Linked DNA regions of Lonchura striata. The protein of the gene in region 1 interacts with the protein of each later gene in a pairwise test. Links are inferred from orthologs where the notes say so. Each region holds a gene or a part of one and is shown in the gene's direction. Other genes may lie near its edges.

What was found.
Region 2: the proteins of FHL2 (region 1) and RAI2 interact in binary tests that used the Homo sapiens proteins (3 or more experiments, as listed by UniProt). The two-hybrid records come from large-scale screens. The link is inferred for Lonchura striata from reciprocal best matches to the Homo sapiens genes FHL2 and RAI2.
Region 3: the proteins of FHL2 (region 1) and ZNF131 interact in binary tests that used the Homo sapiens proteins (3 or more experiments, as listed by UniProt). The two-hybrid records come from large-scale screens. The link is inferred for Lonchura striata from reciprocal best matches to the Homo sapiens genes FHL2 and ZNF131.

The regions. Positions count from the first base shown.
Region 1 is NC_134604.1:89,246,675-89,254,355, reverse strand, and holds the start of FHL2 (four and a half LIM domains protein 2), read left to right. Parts: upstream 1-4,661; 5' UTR 4,662-4,745; intron 4,746-7,681. UniProt on the Homo sapiens protein: May function as a molecular transmitter linking various signaling pathways to transcriptional regulation. Negatively regulates the transcriptional repressor E4F1 and may function in cell growth.
Region 2 is NC_134604.1:101,279,695-101,286,746, forward strand, and holds the start of RAI2 (retinoic acid-induced protein 2), read left to right. Parts: upstream 1-3,988; 5' UTR 3,989-4,110; intron 4,111-4,151; exon of another isoform or gene 4,152-4,167; intron 4,168-4,672; exon of another isoform or gene 4,673-4,691; intron 4,692-7,052.
Region 3 is NC_134642.1:35,167,721-35,174,876, reverse strand, and holds the start of ZNF131 (zinc finger protein 131), read left to right. Parts: upstream 1-4,092; 5' UTR 4,093-4,212; intron 4,213-7,156. UniProt on the Homo sapiens protein: Plays a role during development and organogenesis as well as in the function of the adult central nervous system. May be involved in transcriptional regulation as a repressor of ESR1/ER-alpha signaling.

The DNA.
Region 1 (7,681 bases):
AGCACAGCAGAGCCTATCTCCAGGATGAACATGGTGAAAAGGGACCACTTTACTCTCCTGCTTTTCTGAATGGGACTGCAGGCACTTTGGAAGAATCTTCACTGTTCCGGACTCATCTTTTGTTTCATGTTTAGCGACCAGAGGTCTTGACTTTTTGACCCTTTGTAGGGCTTCGAAGGACTCAACCACAAGAATAAGTGATAGCCAGCTGTTCAGAGACCATGATGGCAAGTAGAATAATAGTCTAGGCCCAAAATGGTACACTTTCCTAAACTGAGCTTGTCAGGATGTGAAAGGGAATGGCAGAAGTCCTGAGACACACAAAGCTGCTTCGCAGCTTAATGCGGTCCTCTCCATTGTTGATGTGTGAAAGCATGAGATATCAAAGGAATAAATAAAGAGTATTGGAATTCATTAATTAGCTAACATGGAAATTGGAAAGTTATAACTGATGTTCATTTACAGAGGTAGAGGCATCACTCAATAATCAGATCATAACACTCTGTAATAACCCTGTGTTTACATTTGTTTAAAAAATGTCTCCTGTTATATGCCTCTGTTAAAATGATGAGGGAAGAGGAAAGACTGTATTGTTTTCTTTGGTATTCTTTATTGTCACAGTCTCCAAGGTGAGCATTTTTGCATGTGAATTGTCTCTCTATAATTTTGTTATTAATACTATTGCTGTTTATTTTCTTATCTCATTGCTGTTTTCAGTAAATTTTTCTTCCCTCAAGCTGTTGTCTTCAACTTTTGTGCCTCCAGTTCTTCATTCCATCCCACCACACGGGGAAGCAGGAGGGGAAGTGGGACCAAGAGAGAGCAGTTGTTTGAGAGAGTCTTGGTGGGGGTACTGATTTGGAGAGAACCATTCCTAAACCATGGCACTGAACAAGCACTCTCCCAAACTGTGCTCAAAATAGTACTAGTCCCCATGCACAAACTGGTCCCAGTACTTTATTTCCCTTAATCATTAGACAGAATTCTTCTTGTTACTTGAATTTCTCAGGCAGATTTCATGCCCTCTTATCAAGAGAAAAAAATGCCAAGTAAAGACCATTTTACACCCCAAATGTAGCAGAAGGCTTCTGTTGAGCTGTCCTGTTTATTTGAGTGGTTTCTCCACCTTCCCACACCAAATAATGCTGCTCTATATTCTAAGTTGTGAGCTCTCTGTGGTGTTAGACGAGATCTTTTTGTGGAAAAACCCACAGATATGTACCATGCCCTCTGGCCACCTCTGTTAACTCCTGTACTAGTTTTTGTCTTGGAAGTAAATGGTTGGAAACACAGAGACTCAGCCTGAAACCTTCTGACCATGGAGAAAGCTTTCTGTGATACCACAGATTTTCTTTCTATGGTGACTCCAGCTAGAAGATCCTCTCCCACTTTCACTAGTAGTTTCCAATGCCACATTCTCACTTGTGCTGCTACATTTTTTTGGGGGGGAGCACATGCTGAACCAAGCAGGAGAACAAGCTGGGTTATATTATGATTTTTTAAAGAGTATTTTGAGGTGGCTCAGTGGCTTCAGTACAGACCCAGGCAGGGCTGTACTCACCCATCTGAGCCAGCTCTGTCCTGTGTTGTGGTAGCAGAGGTGGGCATCTGGGGGGTCATGCAGGAGGAGAGTTTTGGAGAGATGGAGTAGGTTTTGTTGACAGTGGTGTAGCCATGGGGAGAGTTATCCATGGAAACACGCACCATACATTGAAAAGACCAGCTAGATTTGCCACCTACGAATGCCACTTTGTGAAGGGACATTAATATGTCAGTGAGCATAGGAATGGCTTTAGGAGACTGGAAAAAGGCAAATTAATTGCTTCAGGAAAAGTTTCTCAAAGTTTTCCTTTCTTTTTGAAATCAAGATACACCATACAGGAGGTGAGGCACTTGGCACTATGGTTTAGGGGTGATTATAGTGATGTTAGGTTGATGGTTGGACTAGCTGATCTTGGAGATCCCTTCCAGCCTTGATGATTCTTTCATTCTGTGACAGAAGTCTAAGCTTGTAAGACAGACAAGCTTTCAAGCACACTCTCTAGTAGTACATCTTCATGCAAGGGGAAGGTGTGAGGCTTACCTGAGCCTGAATACCTGGGCTGGCTTAACCCAGACATCTTTTCACACATTGGCAAGGGAGATTGTGATGTAGAGTACAGCTTCATCTGGAGCATACCCCGGGAGAAATTAGCACTGGCAGTACAACTAACCTTCAGGCTTATCTCCACATGAGGCTGAGTTGACAAATGACAATCACACCTTTGCTGCTTTTTTATCAGTGACAATTTAACCATCCCTTTTTATTTGCCTGATATTGTGGAAAATGACTGATTCCTCAGGAATGTGGTGGTCACTGGGAGTGCTCAGGGCTGCATTCTGGGGACAGAAAGCAGGGAAACTGAAGCAGCTAGAGTATGACAGATTACTGTCATAATCCTAGGTTACAGGCTTACTGTCATAACCCAGGTTACAGCTACCACCTTAAGAGGCAGTATCTGTGGGCCCAAAATAAGACAGATGTAGCCTGACAGGTTAGATATGGGACACAGGTAACTCCTGCTGGTTCTTTCATTTGTCTTTGTGGGTGAAGTTTCTCTATCATCATTTACAAATGTCATATGTGACCTTCTATACATCTCAGATCTACACTCTGGTTCCCCACCATGTGCCTGTAGCTATTAACTTCAGTTCTAAAGTGCTGAAGAGCTGTAACAGGCATTTCTGTGATACATATGAATGTCTGAAATCCTGGGCCCCAAAGTTGTTTATTTTTAGGATAGATATGCTTGGCTCCTGCTTCTGAAGCAGGCACTCCTCCATCACAGTTGTGGCCATTGCAACCCATGCTCAACTCACACAAGTTTAGGTTTTCTGCTCTCCTTGATAGAAGACGTAATATGATGGAACAAGAATTATCTGTTTGCAGTAGAGGAGAACTGCAAACAGAGGGTTATTTGTCATACAGGAGAAGGAATTGTGAGGGCAGACTTGGCCATCAGCAGACCTGGCAGGGATGGCCCTGCTGGCACACTGCCATGCCTTAACAGGGTTACAGAAGAGAGAGATGCAGATGCCTCCTGCTGCAAGAGCCAGACCTCACCTGGATGTGTGGCTATAATATGGTCTCAACAGCTCTGGGGAGTTAGTTATTGCAGGGCTGATGACTGGTGAAGAATGCAGACTTTTTTCCAGGATATGAAGTCTTGCACTGTATTAACCGACCATTCAGATAACATAAAATCATATTTTAAAATCATTGAAGCATATAGATAGAGGTGATTTCATTTGTTTCAGAATAAAATGTACTGAAGGGTGACAAAAATCTCCAGTAAAACACTAAAACCTCCAGCAGAGGCCTGAGGGTTGTTAAATCACACCCAAAGGTGGGGGGGGGGGGTGTTAGAGCTCCTGCTCGGAGCATTACTTCACTGTGGAGAGCCACCTGCCTATGGTCTGAAAGGAAAAGAGCTGTGACCAAATGTGAATAACTCAGATTCATCCTCCCAGATTCATCTTTCAGACCACCCTATACTTTTACTTGAGGGTCCTCAGGCTTAGTGTCAACAGCTAAAGGACAACAAGTGTTTGAGTTTTGCTGGGCAGTGGCTTCCAAATTATGAAACTGATTTCCCTGGAATCAATTCCTAAAGTCTTAGCACGTGTCTAAGACCCTGGGCCAGAAAACAATTTAAACATGTGTGAATGCCCATTGGCTGAAACATGCCATGAGTTCTCAGTGCTGAGAACAGGCTTTTGTCTCTTCCTAGGACTGTTGGATCATGGGCTCAAAAAGCAAGGTAGGGAGCTGATCCCAGAGGGGCAGTGGGATGGGCAAGGATCCAAGTGCTAAAAATACAGTGGCCTCCTTGACCTGCAAACAGAAAACATTTCCTCCCATTCACTCGGTACAACTTTGGTGCTGGGTGAGCCTTATGTGGGGAAAGAGGCCACCACTTTCTGCAGGGACAGCAGGGACAGCAGTGATGAGGATGCAGAAGGAGGGCATCCTTGCAGAGAGCTGTGGCTGCCAGTCTGGTAAGTAAGTGTATGGCACTGTTTTCCCATTAAATCCCTATTAACTCAGTTTTAAAGGAGAGCCTGTGCAAGCGTGTGTTGTAGAGAGGCTCCTCGAGGCAGCTCAGGTAAGCAGTATGCTTTATAAATTCTGCTTTTAGTGTCTCTTTTTTAAGATTCTGCTAACTTAACAAATAAATCACATTTTTTAATATAAGTGAGATTGAGATTTATTTAAACTAGAGAATGGTTGGAAATTCAGGTTTTGATTATTATTTTTCCTCTGTACTTCAAATTAAGCGTGGGCTATTAATGGCAACACAGAAGTTCTTGTGTAATGCAGTTTAAGCTGGGTGCTTTAAACCATTTAAACATAGAGGATCACATTCACCTTTCTACAAAGCCACTAAAGTGATAGGAAATAATATTTAAATATTTTTTTCAGACCAAAACATTTTCATTAAAATTAATATAGTATGTTTATAAGCCAAACTAATTTTGCAATAAATGGTTTAGTGTATTTAGTACAGAGTATTTATATGGTTACAGATAAAGCAAATGCATCATTTTGCTAGCTATTAAAAATACTTAATAATTTCAGTTGGAGTACTCAGCTGTAAGAGCTGTTTTCCATTTCAGTGAACTTTATGCTGTGGAGAGGAAAGAAATGATTTCTCCACATGGCTGAGCATCAGGTTTCTTTGAGCATGGAAGCAGGCTTGTAAAGGGTAGGTGTTTATGCTTGCTTGTTTCCATCGAGAGTGTTCTCTGACATGCAAATGACCTTCCAGCTGCTAGCAGGCTTTAAGCAGATCTCCTTTAAAACCTTCTGCTGCAAGCCCATGTCAGCTCAGGCCAGCATGTGCATGGATTAGCTTTGTTTTAGCAGGCAGAGTTGTAGTTCCTTTAGTGCTGTGCTGCCACAGCTGGGTGAAAACCACTCAGTGGCAAAAGGGGAAAACTGTATAAATTATGTGCAGATCACAGGCTCTCTTGCCCTTTTCCCTCTCTGAATCCAGCTCCACCAGGGATGATTTCCACTTGAAGGCTGACTTGGAGCAACACTTTCTGAAGTAGTCTTTATAGTTAATATCTGGGAGGTTTTGTCCTGTTTTCTTTAGCAGTGCTCACTGTCTAAAATAGTGAGGATGTTTAAAAAGTGAGAATGTCCCTACACTTTTGAGTAAGCTGAGTGGTGCTTTGGGCGAGGTGATTCACTCAGCCAAAAAAACAGACACATTTTTGAAAAAAAATTATCTCTGCCTAGCAGGAGAAGTAGTTCATGGGTAAGAATGAGCAGCCAAGACCAGGATAAGGCAGTATTTATCTAAGCCATCTGATAATAGTTAACTAAAAGATGCCTGGCAGATGGCATGTTAAAACTGACCAGAGTATAATCTGGAGTGAAGAGAGAGGGAAGAGAGAAAAGCCAAAAGGAAGAGAGGAGGGAGAAGACTTGTATCCATCTGGAGTTTCACCCAGGATGGCTGAAACATTAATTTTTGGGCAGCTATACATGTTCCTGCTTCATAGAGTCTCTGAGGTATAACAGGAGGTACCTGGGGAGCACAGGGAGCCCCTCCCCAGTGCCCTACACTCCAGTCACACCTGTACAACAAATAGCTCTCCTGTCATGTCACCATTCATCTATGCAAAAATGACTGAGCGGATGTTTTGAGGGACAGCTAATGTTGCAGTGCATTGCTGAAAGGAAATCTACCCATGACAGCATTGCATAGTTGAACACCAGGCTTCCATAAATAATTAGGAAGGCAAATCTTTGCCTTTTATCTTTGTCACAGTGACTGGAATGCACCTCACTACCTCCAGTGATTACAATTCATGCAGCACTAAAACCACAAGGTATGCTTTTCACATGCCTGATGTACACCCCTCCACCCACCAGCATTGCTCATAAATGTCCCTTTTTTTCCAAAGATACCAGGACCCACTGGCAAAACTCGGAGACTCACCAAGTATTGCTTGAAACAACAATCTATTGTTAAAAAAGAGGAGCTCTTCACAAAAGACATGTCTGATAGGTCCAAGGAGTGACTGGTGAACTAAAGTATTTGGAATGTTTGTGTTGTGAGCATGATGGAAGAAAGGGTTCAGAATAATATTTTGTAGGCAGTAAGAAGTTTCAGTAGGAACTTTGCTCCACTAAAAAGACAAATACTGATAGAATCCAATTTAAACTAGGTGCTGTATTTATTACCATTAATAGCAGTTTTTATAATAATAGCAATAATCATAACAGCAATAATCAATCAATGTGGGATGGGCAGCCAGCAGCAGGGAAGTGAAGATGTAAGGTGATTGAGGATGAGTCCTAGACCACTCCCATTGTCTTGTGGTGTGTGTATGCTAAACTTTCAAAATAACTGGTACCAAGAAGAGGAATTTTGATAATGGCTACCAGCTTCCATGGAAAAAAAAAAATCTTTCTTATCTCTGCATGTCTCCACCTATGGTGCCACCACTGGTTGTTCTCTCTAAGTACCTACAACACAGCTGGCCAGATGTTCTTCACTCCTTTGGCCTTTATCACAGCACAGGGGTTGAGAGGAAAACCTTGAAAGGGTTTTATTCCAAATCAGTCTGGCACACTGTGGAAATGCACATAGCAGGGTGTTAATGCTGTCTAACCTAACCTGTCCAGGCATCTGTCCATACCCCTACTTGAGCTGCCTCTGGCCCAACTTCTGGAGGCCTCCATTAACTGCAGGACTCATGAAGTTTTTTTTATGGATTGAGCTAAAGATCTGAGTCAGGTATGAGCAGAAAAGGCTGACACAGTTCAGAAAGGCTGTTGAATAAGAACAAGATAACATTTTGTCAGGACATGTGTCAGAAATTGTATGTCTGCAGCTGATCTTGCCCAGGGGCAGAAGATCCAGCTTTGTTTTTCTGTGAATCTGTGGTGTTCAGTGAGTCCCATGGTCAGAAGGAGGCAAGCTGGAGGAAATCACACAGAACCTGAATTTCTCAGGGAGTTATAACAGCTTAGGAAAAAAAAGATAGCTTTGGGAAAATGTGAAGAATAGCAGAAATTTAAATTTTGAAACTTGCCTGAGGCATCACTTCTGGAAAAACCAAGTTGATACAGCAAGTAGTGGCTTGATGTGGCGTTATTCTTATATCTCTGTGATGTTCATTTTCAATAGAAGATGGTGCTAAGTGAGGAGGGAAGTGTGTATTTTTTGCTACAAAATTCAATGCCTTTATGACAGACCCTCATGAAAGGCTTTGGCAAACCTTGTCCTTGTGCCTGGCACAAACTGTACTGAACAGAGCGTATAAAGTCACAGGTAAGATTTTTGCCTTCAGCTATTTGCAAGCAGAGTTGGTTTAACATAGAGCAATTTGGATGAATTAGAGAGTTTAAAATGCTTCCCATCACCTTATCCTCTACTGCTCTGTCTCTCTGCCTGCAGAACTATTTTTATGGCCAGATCCTTATCTGACCTCTTTAAAAACCTTGGTGCAAGGGGTCAGACTGGTAGGCACTCATGTCTGCAGAAGTTTATCTGCTTGTGGCATCAGTCAATGTCTCATCTCTTAGGTTGCCACTGAAATTGTGCTAAGGTTGTTTGCTGATTGGAGAATATAACTTAAAGGTTGGCTGTTTAAAACATAGATGGCCTGGGCCATATGGGCAGTT
Region 2 (7,052 bases), about 12 Mb from region 1:
TCCCAATTACTGCTTAACAAGGTATGTCTTGTCAAAACAGTTTTGAGGCCAACTTATTCTGATGCAAGCTGATCTTTAAGTGCAACTGAAGATTGGCTTCAGTAGCACATCTTTGCTATGGCAGATTCTCTTTAAGACTTTTGGGGGGCTGACATGGGACCAACTTTCTGCTAGAAAACAAATTGAAATGTAAAAAGCAGCATAGTTATATACATTACTGTTATCCAAAATTCTCAGTTATCTATAGCTTCCCTATAGCTTATCCTTTTAAAAACACATAGAGTAATGAACTTTGCCTATGTGTGATACCTTTGTTTTTCTCACTAAATGCTTTCATGATGATCAAATTTCATATGATTTCTAATGAATGCTCACACATTTAATTGAAAAGAGAAACAACTGTGAGAATGCTGTTGTTGAAGTCACTGTGCTTGGTTTCAATATCCATGAGCTTGTATTTTCCATGTTTGATTGAAGAAACTTTGCCTAAAAAGCCTGCACTTGAAGTTCAGACCACCTTAGAAAAAGGCAATTTTTAAATGTTAAAGGAAAACAAATATGCATTCATATCTGCTAGCACATGGTCATCCCATTATAAAATAATTAAAGAACTACAACTAGATCAGGCTAACAATAAGTGCATCAAAACTAGTATGTACTATGGTCACATTACAAGCAACAAAGCTGAGCTTGGTGATTTATGACAATATCACTAAAACCTTGTGATATATTTAGCAAGTGGTAATGGTAAAGGTTATAATTCCTCTGAGGGACAATAGTGATGAAATAAACCACAAGGGTCAAGTGGATTATGACCTTGTGAAAACTCAAATAATGGAGATGGAGCTTTATAAACTTCCTTATAATAGATAATACCTTAAACAATTTAAAAGCTGCTCAGTACTCAATTTGGACTTGCCACAGGCTTACTACTGCCTATATATTATTAGAGGAAACCCTGAAAATTACTTCTGTCACTATGAAACTTGCATCTGCTCAGAACCCCCATTTTAGGTGCAATGAGCACTCTTGCTGGGCTTTGAATGCTCCCAACAGACTGTGTAAACTCATCTGTCAGTTTTCCCCACCCAGCATTTGCAGTGTGGCTGCTTATGCAGAATTTAAAGCTTGCAACGCATCCTGGATTGCTACGTTAGTAATCACACCTGGCAGTATTAATTTTGCTACTGTATTGTACTATTCTGGGATCAAAGAGTGATCAAGTGATAGGCTGAGATGACTGACACTGCTGATTGCTTTACATGCTTGGCAAAAGGAAAGATGTCACGTTTATCAGCACAGACAATACACCAGGTTGATGCAGATCCTCTCTACAGGGTTACCTTAGACACCCAACTTCAGAACACAGTTTATATGGGAGCTGAAGAGTGCCGCATATGTGAATTTGTGCTGAGATTTAGGTGGAGGTGGAGCAACCTCACAGGCAGATGATGATTATCCTGATCTACCTGAATACAATGTGGAAACAGTCTATGGGATCAGTCCCATAAAAGACTACGACTGTGAGTCACTTGACCAAGGTCATTCACATACATAGTTTAGGCTCCTTCATTTTCATTCTTGCTGTAGTTTGCCTCCTGTGTGGCAACCCACCTCACCAGAGCTAGTTTTTTGTACCAAGATACAATATTGTACTGGCAAATTTCTGGAGAAGCTGCATGGATAAAACAGCCATACTGAGACATACATGTACAGATTTATAAATTAATGCACAGAAAAAATTCTTCTGCCAGAAACACAGAGATGCTTGAGACCATGCTGTCTCAGCTTCAAAGACATGGAGGAGGAGGGAAGACAAGGAGACAACACAATGCTTACCCACTTGTGTAACAGCACTGACAATGGCAGGCCTGGGAGGGCATCAGTCTGGGACAATCAGCTGCCATTGAGAGAGGGATTTTTGATTGATTTTAAATTAAGGTTACTGTCCCCAGGCCACAGCTAGATTTGATTATTTCTGTCACATTTTAGAAGAGTGACAGAAACTTCTTTGCAACCAGTGCTCGCTCTCTTTGGTGACTCAATGCATAATGATGTTTTTTTAAGAGGGTTTTGATGATTCTAACTTCCATGATATGCCACATGTTGGTACACCAGTGACATTCTCCCACTGAAAGCCACTCATCCCTTTTACTACTCAAATCTATGCAGTAAGGGCATTAGGAAACCTGTGGGCAGCACAGAATTAACACAGCTGTAACATTAAATCTGAGAGGTGTATTCACTGCTGTGAGGTGATCAGTGACTACCAACATACACCAAGGGGAAAGGGCAAAAGAGCAAGCCCAGCCATGAGCCATTTGTCATGGAGGGACCTTTCTGAGCAAGCTGTGATTTGGTTGCTCTCTTGGATTTCTCTCCTGTTAATTAATTAATTTCCCCCTCAGAATGACACCAACTGCCTGCTGTCAGATAGCAAAGGGCTCCACAGCTGTGTTTGCACAAAGAATCACCTCTGTACAGTCAGGTGGTCCTGTTAATAGCCTTTCCCTTTTGTGCTGGAAGCCAGGACCACCAGTCCCTGCTCACCCTCTCCATGCTGCTCAAGCTTTGAGGAACCTCTATCACATCTCCCCTCTCGTACCTCTTGCCCATGTACATGTACCTAACTGAAAACCCTTTCAAGCCATGGATTATCACTGCTGGCCTCCTCCAAATCTTTTACAGCTCTGCTATGTTCTTTTTGAGAAGGTGAGACGGGAATTCCTGCAGTATTGAGCGCACAGGTCCAGCACACATTTTCTAGTGTAAAATCTTTTCCTCTTCGTTGCTCTCCTAACAAGTCCTGACATTTGAGTCACTCTTTTGGCCACACTGAGCATGAAGCTGACATTTTCTCAGCTGTGCATGTTCCTGGGCTCTCAACCTAAGGAAAGTGATGGCCAAAATCCTTCCATGATGATGGGCAAGAAATAAATGACCAACTGCAACTGTACAGTTGTGCTGTCTGGGAAAAAAAACCCAAACCAAACCAAAACAACAAACAAAAACCCACCTTGGAATAACAGTAGTGGATTTTAAATCCCAAGATGCTACAAAATTCCTTCTCAGGCAGCTTGACCTAAATTCCTATGGGCAATGAGGAAGCCACATATTTGGAGCATTTGAAAGAAAACTAGACAAATGCCCATAAATTATTGTATGGGGGACATTCCTACTCTCTTTTGGAAGATGGATTAGGCAGATGACCTACTAAGTTTTTTTTTTCTTCTTTCACTAATTCCTACGATGTCGTGAGTGTGTGTGCTTTACCCTTTCTTAAATCATAATCTGATTGATCCAGCACCAGTCAAAGGTTTTGAAAAGCCCATTAAACCACAAGAGGAAATCTTGAGCGGTTTGCTAATATCAACAGAAATCCAGATGGAATTACAATCATCTTTTACGTACATTCGAGGGTATATTATGTAATACTAGCCATGGATTTAGTTTAATGCACTGCACCTTCCAATAAGCTGCTGGCGACACTTAATAGCGATTTGAAACCTACAAAAAACTATTTTGCCCTTGACAAAAGCGTTTTGAAGCCCAGAGACTGAGGTCAAGAGGCATGGGATATTCAGAGTCTGATGGGAAAACGGGGACAAGGGAAAGCGAGGATGGAAAAGATCGGGGGTGGGGAGGGGGGGGGCGCGGGAGGAGAAATTAAAAAGGGCAACGAGGTGGAAGGGGAATAAACAGGAAGTCAGAATCGTGGTAAATCCGAGATAAACGCAGAGGAGACAAGGTCAAAACTTCAAGCAAGCAGGGCGCAAAAACCCCCACGAGATTTATGAAGGATGATGACGCTGCCTGCTGCGGCATCCTCCCGAGCGCCCGCGCCGCCGCGGCTCCGCGGGACCCCGGCGCTCCCGCGGCTGCCCGCGGCGCGGCGGGCGCGGGGGCGGCGCTGCCGGGCGTGGCGCAGGTTGGGCGGCCCCGCCCCCGGCGCTCGCCCCGCCCCGGCCCGCCCGGCGCGGGGGGAGCGGGACGCGGTACCGGGCAGGGCAGGGCGGCGCGTCCCCGGCGGCGGCGGCCGCGCTTGACAGAGCGGGCGGCGGCTGCGGCCCCATGGAGCCCAGCTAGGGGCTGCCGCACCCTCCACCGGAGGTAGGTGCCGCGCAGCGGATGCGCACCGACAGCCCAGGGCGGGTGGAGCGGTGACAGGTTGGCCGGGCGGCGGCGTTTTGCGGGAATTCCACCCCCCCAAGCCTCCTTCCCACCGGCGGCCGGGCGCTGCGGTACCGTGGGGAGGGCGGCGGCCCCGCGGTCCCCGCTTCGGCCCGTGACTATTGTTTCTGGTGGCGCCGAGCGGGCGCAGCGAGATCCCGGTGGCGGCGGCGGCGGCTTTGTGCGGGTTGTCCCGGCCGTGGGGCTGCGGCGGCGGTGGGGGGCCGCGGAGGGACCGCGGCGGGGAAAGGGACGGGGCGAGACCGTGCCCGCTCGAGCAGAGCCACCCACCCCACCCCCGCCCTTCCTCCTCCTCCCGCTGCCTGCGCAACTTCTCCGAAATCCCGGCCGTGGGTGCGCGGGAGGAGCGGCGCGTGTGGCGGCCGGGCATCGCCCCCCGCGGCTCCTGCCCCGGGCGGCGGGGCGCACACGGCGGGGCCGCGGCGGCGTTCCGCGCCCGGTCCGCGCTCCGGGAAAGGAGACTGCAATGGATTTCTGCAGGATGGATTTCAAGATGGGCGGTAATGGGATGATTTGGGGTCCCTCGCGTAGCCGGTCACAGGCGAGAAGCGGGAGGAGAATTTACCCTTCCGAAGTTAGGGCAGAAATTCCTCCCGCTGTCGCCCGGCTTCCTGGCGAAGTCTGCTAGGAGGGATGGACTGTCACCTGCGGCTCCCTTAATGGCTTTTTCTGGACGAGGCTGTCGCGGGGCGTGGGTCATCTGCGCCGGCGTCGCAGCGGTCCGGGCGTACGTGGCGGTGAATGCCAGGGTTGAAGTGTCGTGCTCCAGAAGTTCTGCATCCCTCCGGGGGGATGCTGCGGGGTGCAAGCACCCTGGGCAGGAGTTGCAGGGCAGTTATTCTCCTTTTCTCATGCAATCCCCAACAAACCTCTTTTTTGAGAGATTGGTTCGGCTTCGGTTTATTTACCGCTGTTGATGGTAGTTTTCTTGCACGTTCTCCGTCAGAATTATTTTTCTAAAGAGAAAAATTATTAAAATGCGGGATTCAAAGTATATATATTGTCTAATGGGGGTGTATTGTTAAAGAAGAAAGAGTATCTGGTTGCCCATTAATTCTTCAGGTATTTTCCGTTTAAACTTGATGAGGAAATGTTTTTCTTTTTTCCTAAGTAACCTTTCATGTCATTCATCATTAGCAAATCGGCTTGGCATTCAAAGTAAAGATTTCCTCACAAATACGCTACTGATTACTAATGTTATGTCTGAAACACTCCGTAGGACAGAAATCAGCACACCTCCGTCTTTTTAATATGTAAATTTGAAAAGCCTTTCCTTCCATTTCATGACGCTGTGAGTGGCCCCGGTTAATCAGATGTAACACAGTAACTAGCAGAGGAGGCTGCTGATAGGCAGGATGGTTTCCTGCACCACTCTGCTAGAGAAACCTGATCAATTAATGCATCCTCACTATTTTGTCCTTGGCATCTTTGATGAATTCTATAGTATATCTGTGAGGAGCTCCAATAGGGGAAGCTTAAGTCTCTTTCACCTTCAGAGATGATTGAAGCCAAATTTGAAGAGGGGATAACTCTTTGAGTCGACTGGAGAGTGCTGCTAAGTTTCTGTGTATACACTAAATTCTGGAGGCGATCCAGCAGCCAGAGCTATCTGGGTCAGGCTGGAAATCAACTCAGTGATGGGTTTTGCAGGGTCCTGGTCACTTCCGAACAAAAAAAAAAAAGCAAGTGCTTTTGCAACATGCACGGATTGCATTGTAGGCATGAGCTGGAGCATGGAGCTGGTCGTGTAGTGAGCTTGGCGTGTGCAATCAGCAGGTCACACTGAGCACCCTACAACTTCAGGATGCTGAGTTCACTGTGCAGAGCCTGCAGCAGTATGAATTACAGGGGAAAAAATGCATTTAGATGTAACAAAGGCTGCTGGCTCATCTCCTGCATGAGGAACTAATTTTTTTTTTTTAATCTGGCTCCCGTTTCTGCCTCTGACTCAAGCTGCCAGTGTAGCTGTGGGCAAATCATTCCATGTTTCCCTCTTTCCTCATCTCTGCCTGACCTGCCAAGGTCTCATCTGTACAGGGCTGTCTGTTCAGACCCCAACTCAAACCCCTTACTTGCCACCAGCTGCCTTGCACACAGCAGTCTGAAACCCAGTGTAGGTGCTACCTCTGCTCCGCGGGGACACAGTTTGACATTCAAATACTGCTGCTGGAGCCAATCATACAGACATAGCAGCCTCACAGCAACTCATCAATCTCTAATCCTGCTCCTCTTCTAATCCAGTCATTCTCTGCTGCTGGTGGAATCACCCGGCGCCCTTCGAGCTGTGTCTGGCTGCGTGCTTGCCCTTGTGTCGGCGAGCCTAAGTCAGGCCAGGGAAGCGAGTGGCAGTGGGGATGGGCTGAGGATCACCAGCTCTTCAGGACACGCACTGTCACTTGAGGCTACAAAACGCGTGGCACGAGAGGCCTGGCGTGATTTAGAAATAGAAATTATGGCTAAAGGGTAAATTGCAACAATGTCACAGAAAAATGATCAGAAAATGGAACCTCGGGCATTCCGGCACAGCCAGCTGCGTGCTGGTCAGGAGGGAACGGAGGTGGAAGGGTGCAGCTCCCTCGGCGTAACAACGGCATTCTTATTTTAGCATGGAAGACAGCCAAAGATAAGGAGTGGTTGTCATCCGGCTGGTTGGAGGATGGAAAAAAAAAGGAAAAGCTGTGTGGAAAAGTATTTTGATGTAGGTACTAAAGGAAAAAAAAAAGCAGATAACCTTACAAGTGATAGACTAGCTATGTAAAGCTGCCAGGACAAAGCTTTTCCCATAAAATCCAGAACGATCCTAATTAAGCCCAGACCTTGTTAAATGACACATGGCTTTATTTATTTCAGATGTTTCTAGG
Region 3 (7,156 bases), on another chromosome or scaffold:
TCCAGGTTCTGGAATAAAGTTTCCAGTGAATATTTTATGCCCATATCAGCCAAACATAATTTCACACAGCAATAATATGATTCACAGGTCTACATTTTTGTAGGATGATTACCTGACCTGAAAGAGGATAATCTAAAATTATCTGTTAATGTTCTGTATACATAATACATGGAAGTACAGTTGTGGGCTAGGTCAAAACTTCTTATAATTTAAATTTAACTCCTCTCAGACTCTGTAGATTTTCATGGGTTGTGAAAGAGCTTGAGAAAAACCACTACATTTCATGTCCTGATGTGCTGTGTCCACTGTTGATTATCAAAAATCTCCACAAAACAAAAATGCTTTTGCAAATGAGGTTAAATATTTGTCTATGAAACATTTGGGTCACATCTGAAGAGGCACTAAAAAAATATATGAAATCTGTAATAATAATGTCTGTGTATGTTATTTCTACTCATGATGCACAATGTATACCCATGCAAAAAATTGCCCAGTGCATGTGTATTTTAACAATAAACACAGATCACTTTTGAACAGAGTATTTCTTTAAGAGGCTTCCAGATGGTACTGACCTAGACAAAGTCTGCTGAATTTATACTGGGAAATGATATTCCAACTCAACCCATTTTATATTTATATGTATGATTCTATATTATGGGATCAAAAGGAAAAATAGCTAAATACTTATTTCTTTAGGCATGCTTCTTGTAATCCTGCAGAATCCAAATCACTACAGTTTATGAAACTGAGGGACAATGAGTTGCTGGACTTGCTTCTTCCTCCAGATATTTATAATTATATAAAAGAAAATATTTAGATAAGAACTATAATTCAATACCATTGCTTGCAATGTTCAACAGACACTGATCTCCCTGACTTCACTAGTCAGCTGCTCTTTCTGGGGTCACAAAAATATGAAACTTGTAAACAGTAGATAAGACTTGGCACGGAGCTTTTATGTTAGCAAATACTACTGAATAGATGTAAATGTACATCCTGTCCTAGCTGGACATTTCCTCTGAAAATAGAAAGATAATGAAGGAAGAGGTTAACACGTTTGTGTCATAGGACTAAGATTTAAATTTTTTTTACATCAATCTACAATTCTACACATTACAGTTTTCAAGCATTCCATTTTGATTTTATTTATTTTATTTTGACTTTATTGACTACAAAGCTATTTTGACTTCTTAACTCCTTATATATTTCCTTCAGTCTGGAAATAATAAAGAAATAAGAAAAATTAACAGAACAGATCTCTGTGAGAAGCACAATCCATGTTTATTTTCCTTTAAAACTTTTAAAACACGCACTGATATTATTGCCCTCAGCATACCTATCAAAGGGGCCCCACATAAATATTTTCCTCTTGCATAACAGCACACATCTGGCTTGCTCTAGGCATGACAGTAAAGCCTTCTTATGCACAGAACAAGTCTCTGTGCATGGGAGATGTACTGACTCGTCTGATACAGAGATTTCTTGCAAATGATTGATAACACTATAAGAATGAGAAGTTGATTTCGTAAGAATTTTTCCAATAGAAGAGACTAGAACAGCCCACATTGCAGCTACCTGTATTCTGCCTGGTGAATAATTTGGTTTTGATGTGGGAGATCTGGGTGTGCTATGAGTGCACTAAGGAGATTTCAAAACCATTTTGGGATCCAGTCAGAACTGTCCAGCAGGCTGGATGTAGGTCAGAGGCTGCCAGGTGGATGGCCTTGCACTAGATGAGCTAATGGTCCCTTTTGAACAATAGTTATATACTCAACGCTGCACACAAGCAGGCCTCCTGAATTCTTGATTTCACATCTCCAGCTTAATAATTCCTACATTTCCTCAGACAAAGAGGTGTTTCATTTATTAAAGAAGGGAAATATATGAGTCACAATTTTCTACTATTAGTTTAGTACTCATTTTTGGATGTTTGGTACATCACAGCTCCCCCTGGGAGAGACTCACGAGGATCGGCCTGGACAGATGCTCTCAGCCCTGTTCAGTGCTGCTGTGAGAGGCTGGAGCTAGAAGAGAACACCTACACTTCAGTAATTTTCCCAAACTCAGCTGAATGTTATATCCAGAAGATGTACCATGTTATTTTAATTAATACAGGATTTTTTAGTGTCATTGAGGTGATTCTGAAAAAGGAAAAAAACATAGGTAATTTTTAGGCATATAAATGGCTAATACAGGTTGAACTAGAGATATTGATAAAGATCTTTAGATGTTTGCTTAACATATTCTTCCTTATGTAAATAAAATGCACTATAAACCAGGTAGTTTCCAGACTTACTAAAACTAAATTGTATTGTTTTTTAACATACCTCTTGGAAGTCTTGGAGGTAGTGGTGGGAAATGACACAACCATCTCTGAGAGAGGAAAAGGAGAACATAAGAGTTATGGTTTAGTCCATGTAATTTTATACTTGAAAAGCTATTAGGACCAAGTATAAACTGTTCATTTAAAACCTTCAGCCTAACCTCACAGTAAAACTAGATGGAGGAACCCATAGGAAAAAAAATACAGTGGAAAATGCTGTGAGAAAAAAAGTAAATGGTCAGAACAAACCATACCTTAATCTAAACCAAGCAAGCCACCAACACTGGACAGGTAGAAGGTGCTGGAATGGAAAAATTTAATTCTTGTTTTGTACTCTACTACAGTGATATCTTTAGCAATATTTCTATTTGGATTATAAACTATTGGAGATATAGTTCTTCTACTAAAAATTAGCTTTCCTCTACTTTAGAACAAACATTCATATATTTTTAAATGCAGGAGGCATCAACATTGCCTATGTACTGTTGTGTACCAGAAAACAAGAATGGGTGTGGCAGGCAACTCCTAGAATGCAAATAACTGTCTGAGCAGACCTACTGACAAGATCAACAGCACTGTTATGTTAACAAGGCCATTAAGCAATAAGCACCATGGGAAAGGGATGGAGTTCATAAACAAGTCAATTTTCAGGAATGAACATGGGCAAGCTCATTAGAGACACAGCATGAGGCTGCTCTTCTCTTGTCAGCTTCAGCATAGAGGCTGTCTGTTCTTACAAATTAAATTATTATATTTGGATGAGTACATTTTCATCTTGTGGCAGGACATGAAACCTGGATGACTAGGGGTCCCCTGAAGATTCCAGTGTAGAAAAGAAACCCAAGTTTGGTGTTGTCAGTGCTCAGGCAGGATGGCAGAAGGGCTGGTTGCAGCCCGTACCATGCACTTGCTGTCTCAGTAAGGTGCCTCGGCCAAATAGCCCAGGAGATCTTGGGATCTGCAAGCTGCTGCCTGGGCCTTTCCTTCCTCAGCTGCAGGGACCAGGAGCTGGAGAGGCACAGCTGAGCACCACAGAGTGAGACTTGCTGGGCAGTATTGCACTTTAGACTTTCCAGCTTTTGACACTGCTTCATGATACCCATTTTGGGTACAGCTCAGTCTGAATTATAAAGTAACACGGTGTTATGGAACTGCATGGAAGAGTGGCTGTGTGACAGTCAAGAGAACACAGGATGAAGGGGATCCTGTGGGTATGAGTCCTGCTTGTGAGGGGGTGTGTGGCCCTAACACTTGTCTTCCAAAATGTTCTGATATGCCAGACTAAGGAATGTACTGCGATGCAACTGTAAAATGCATCTAGAAGGGGAGACACAGGTACTCCTCATCTGCAAGAGGAACAGAGTTGAACAAAGATGATCCAGGGACTGGAGTATCTCTCTTATGAGGACAGGCTGAGAGAGCTGAGCCTGTTGAGCCTCGAGAAGAGACAACTGAGAGGGGACCTGATCCCTGTCTGTCAGTGCTTGCAGGGAAGGTCAGAGCAGGGACCGGGCTCTGCTCGGGGGTGCTGAGCCCGGACAAGAGGCAATGGGCAGGAACTGATGCACAGGAACTTCCCCCTGAACATGGGGAAGAACTTCACAGCACAGGTGACTGGAACAGATTACCCAGAGAGATTACACAGATTACCTCCAGTTCTGTCACGCTGAACCCGCCACACTGCACAAATGGACTACAACTCCCAGCATGCCCCGGGCCGCAGGGCCCCTCCCCCGCCGCACGCGCGCCCTGTCGCGTGGAAGGTGAGCGCGGGGCAGGCCGGGAATGCGAGTCGGGATTGGCCGGCGCGCGCCCCGCTTTCCAGCGTGCCGGGCAGCAGGAAGCGGCGGCGGTGGAGCGGGAAGCGGCGCGGCGAGAAGCTGCTCCCGGTGAGTACCCGGCGGAACCGCCTCCCCACCCCTCGGAGTGCCGCGTCGTCGGGCCGCGACCCGGCCGGGAATTGAAAAGGGATCGATTTAATGCGCGCTTTGATGACGTAATAAGGACTAACGAGGCGGCGGCGCTGCCGCGCGCCGGGCTCGGGGCGGCAGTGGCCAGGTCCCCTCTCCGGGCGCCCCGCGGGACCCCCGTGGCTGCCAGCGCCGCCCGCACCGCGCCCGGATCCCCCGAGCGCGGCGAGCCCTGGGCGCGGGCCAGGCCTTCCGCCTTCGCCCGCTCGGGGCGCTCCGCGGCCGCTCATTGGCTTCTGCGTCCGGGGCGGGCGCTGCCCGCGCTTCGCTATTGGCGGAGGTCGCGCTGACTGACACCGGCGGCCGCCAATGAGGCTGCGGGGCGCGCGGGCCGCAGCCCGCGGGCGGCGCGCGCGGGTGGCGGGAGCCCCGGGGTGGGGCGGCCGGGGGTGGGGGCGCCGCCTGGCGGCCGCTGTGCCCACGGTCCCGGCGGGAGCGGCACCGATCCCGCGTCCGCGCTGCGGGGCTGAGGGGCGGGATCGGGATGGCCTGAGCGCTGGTTTTGAGGAGATCGTGCGGCAGTGTGCATGAAGAACTCCTGCTTCTGCAATGCCCAGGCCACGGCTCCCCGCTTCCCAAGATGGCGGTGCTGTGGGCACGCCGCATCGGCTCCTCCGGCTCACCCGAGCTGCCCCAGCACTGCCCCGCCTGCGTCTGTGGGATCCCTGTGCGGGAAACAAAACATCTCCTGCCCGGAATCCGAAGAGCTCCTGGTGTAGCCCAGGAGAATAATACGAATAACATGTTTCATTGAGGCGGATTTGTAAAACTAGCTCGGCGAATCATATGCACATCACATGAAATGTATCCAGAGTTACAGGCTCATAAGACTAAGGCGAATCATATGCACATCTCATGAAATGTATCCAGAGTTACAGGCTCATAAGACTAAGGCGAATCATATGCACATCTCATGAAATGTATCCAGAGTCCAGAGTTACAGGCTCATAAGACTAAGGCGAATCATATGCACATCTCATGAAATGTATCCAGAGTCCAGAGTTACAGGCTCATAAGACTAAGGCGAATCATATGCACATCTCATGAAATGTATCCAGAGTCCAGAGTTACAGGCTCATAAGACTAAGGCGAATCATATGCACATCTCATGAAATGTATCCAGAGTTACAGGCTCATAAGACTAAGGCACTGTTTCGATGAGTCTTTCAAGGAAATGGCAAAGACAACTGAAGCAGTCCACTCTCTGCCGCACGTCTGTGAGCCCACTCATAAGTGGGAATTTGGATCTCTTCTGTCCGTCCTCCTTGGCCGCTTTGTTTTCCCAGTTGTACTTTTCACTCCTTCCTTCTAAGCAGTCACGCTCTTACTGAACATGTGCTGTTTTGTAAGGCCTTTTTCTTCAGTATGACCGAGGTTTTTAAAATGGTCGATGCAACTGCATTTAGATACATAGTACATTCACATTTTTATAATGAACTGCCTAACAGAAACTATGTTTCTTATTAGGTTTTGTAACAATTTTAAGAAAAAACTTTTTAAAGTATCTTGTATTTGCTAGGCTAAGGTTGCTTTATTATTTTGAGGTTTGGGGTGTTTCTTTTTAAGATATCCCTACAGTCAGTTTGGAAGTAAAGCAAAAACCATGGGAGATGAAAATCATGAGAGCTGGAGATCAAATTTTTCTTTTTAGGAATTATGTTTTTTATTGCAAGTCATCTACCCTATTGTAATGTGTCAAAAATTAAACTGTGACGTTTAATCCACATGAGTTTAATTCCCACATGTGACTTTAAGTGAAATACTAGATGGCAAAAGAAAGGCAGGAACTTCTGGTTGTCTCAGACCCATCATTACAGATGAAGTGAAGAGAATGCAGCAACAGCATCTATTCCCTTCCACCTCCTCTTCCTCTGCCCACTTGAAGACCCTCACAGTTGTTTCTAGTGCAAAATACAGAATATGTAGAATTGTCTCAAGGAAGGATTTGCTTTGATGTTTGATCTTTGTGTACTGTCAAGCCTCTTCAACAAGAAAGGAGATTTAATCCCTGATATAGAGAGCAGCCGACATAATGTCCGGGTGTTAGAAAAACAAATTACTTTTGGGTAAAATTGCCTTCTTAAGCTTACAAAGACATACTTCAGTGATCTCAGACCTAAGGGCAGGCTAACAAAAGCCTGGGAAAATGGGTGTACCACTGATAGTGGACACAGAGAATCTAGAATTTAGAGGCCACAGGGACGTGTAGCAGAAACCCCAAAATAAGGAAGAAACTGATTAAGCAAACTTAGCAATTGTGTTGGAATTGGCTCCAGCTGGGTAGCAGGTAATTCTTACTGAGGGAGATTGCAACGACCCACCCAAGAAACCTGATCCAAAAGAAGAGAGAGACTGAGCATGTGGACTAATTAGCACAGGAAGCAAGAAAATCATTAACCAGTAGAAGAGAAAATACTAATTAATTAGGGAACTATGTTACTTGTAACCAATGAACACTAATCCTTTTGCTTGGTAAAATGTATAATAATTAGTAAAAAGCTTTTATAGTGGGTACTTGATTGTGGAATTCTCCCGGGCACCCAGGCCTGCACAACTCTAAAATAAATAATCAATGTCACCTCAAGTGTGTAGTTCTTGGCTCATTGCACACCAGGTAACGAATCCGACTTTCGCAGACAGCGTTTCTGTGATTGACAATGTAGCAGTAGCAGGTAGGGCTGGATTTCCCTAAGTAGTTGCTTCTGCTCTACTTATTTCAATTCTCTTGAAAGAGAATTTTTGTCTTGGCAAAACAGCTTCTTCATGGGTGACTTTTTTCTGAGAGACAAAAAGGAGTGTGTTTTGTGGTGTAAACAGGAACTCCATAATTCTTTTTTTCTGCAGCATTCTAAGAGTAAGCCAC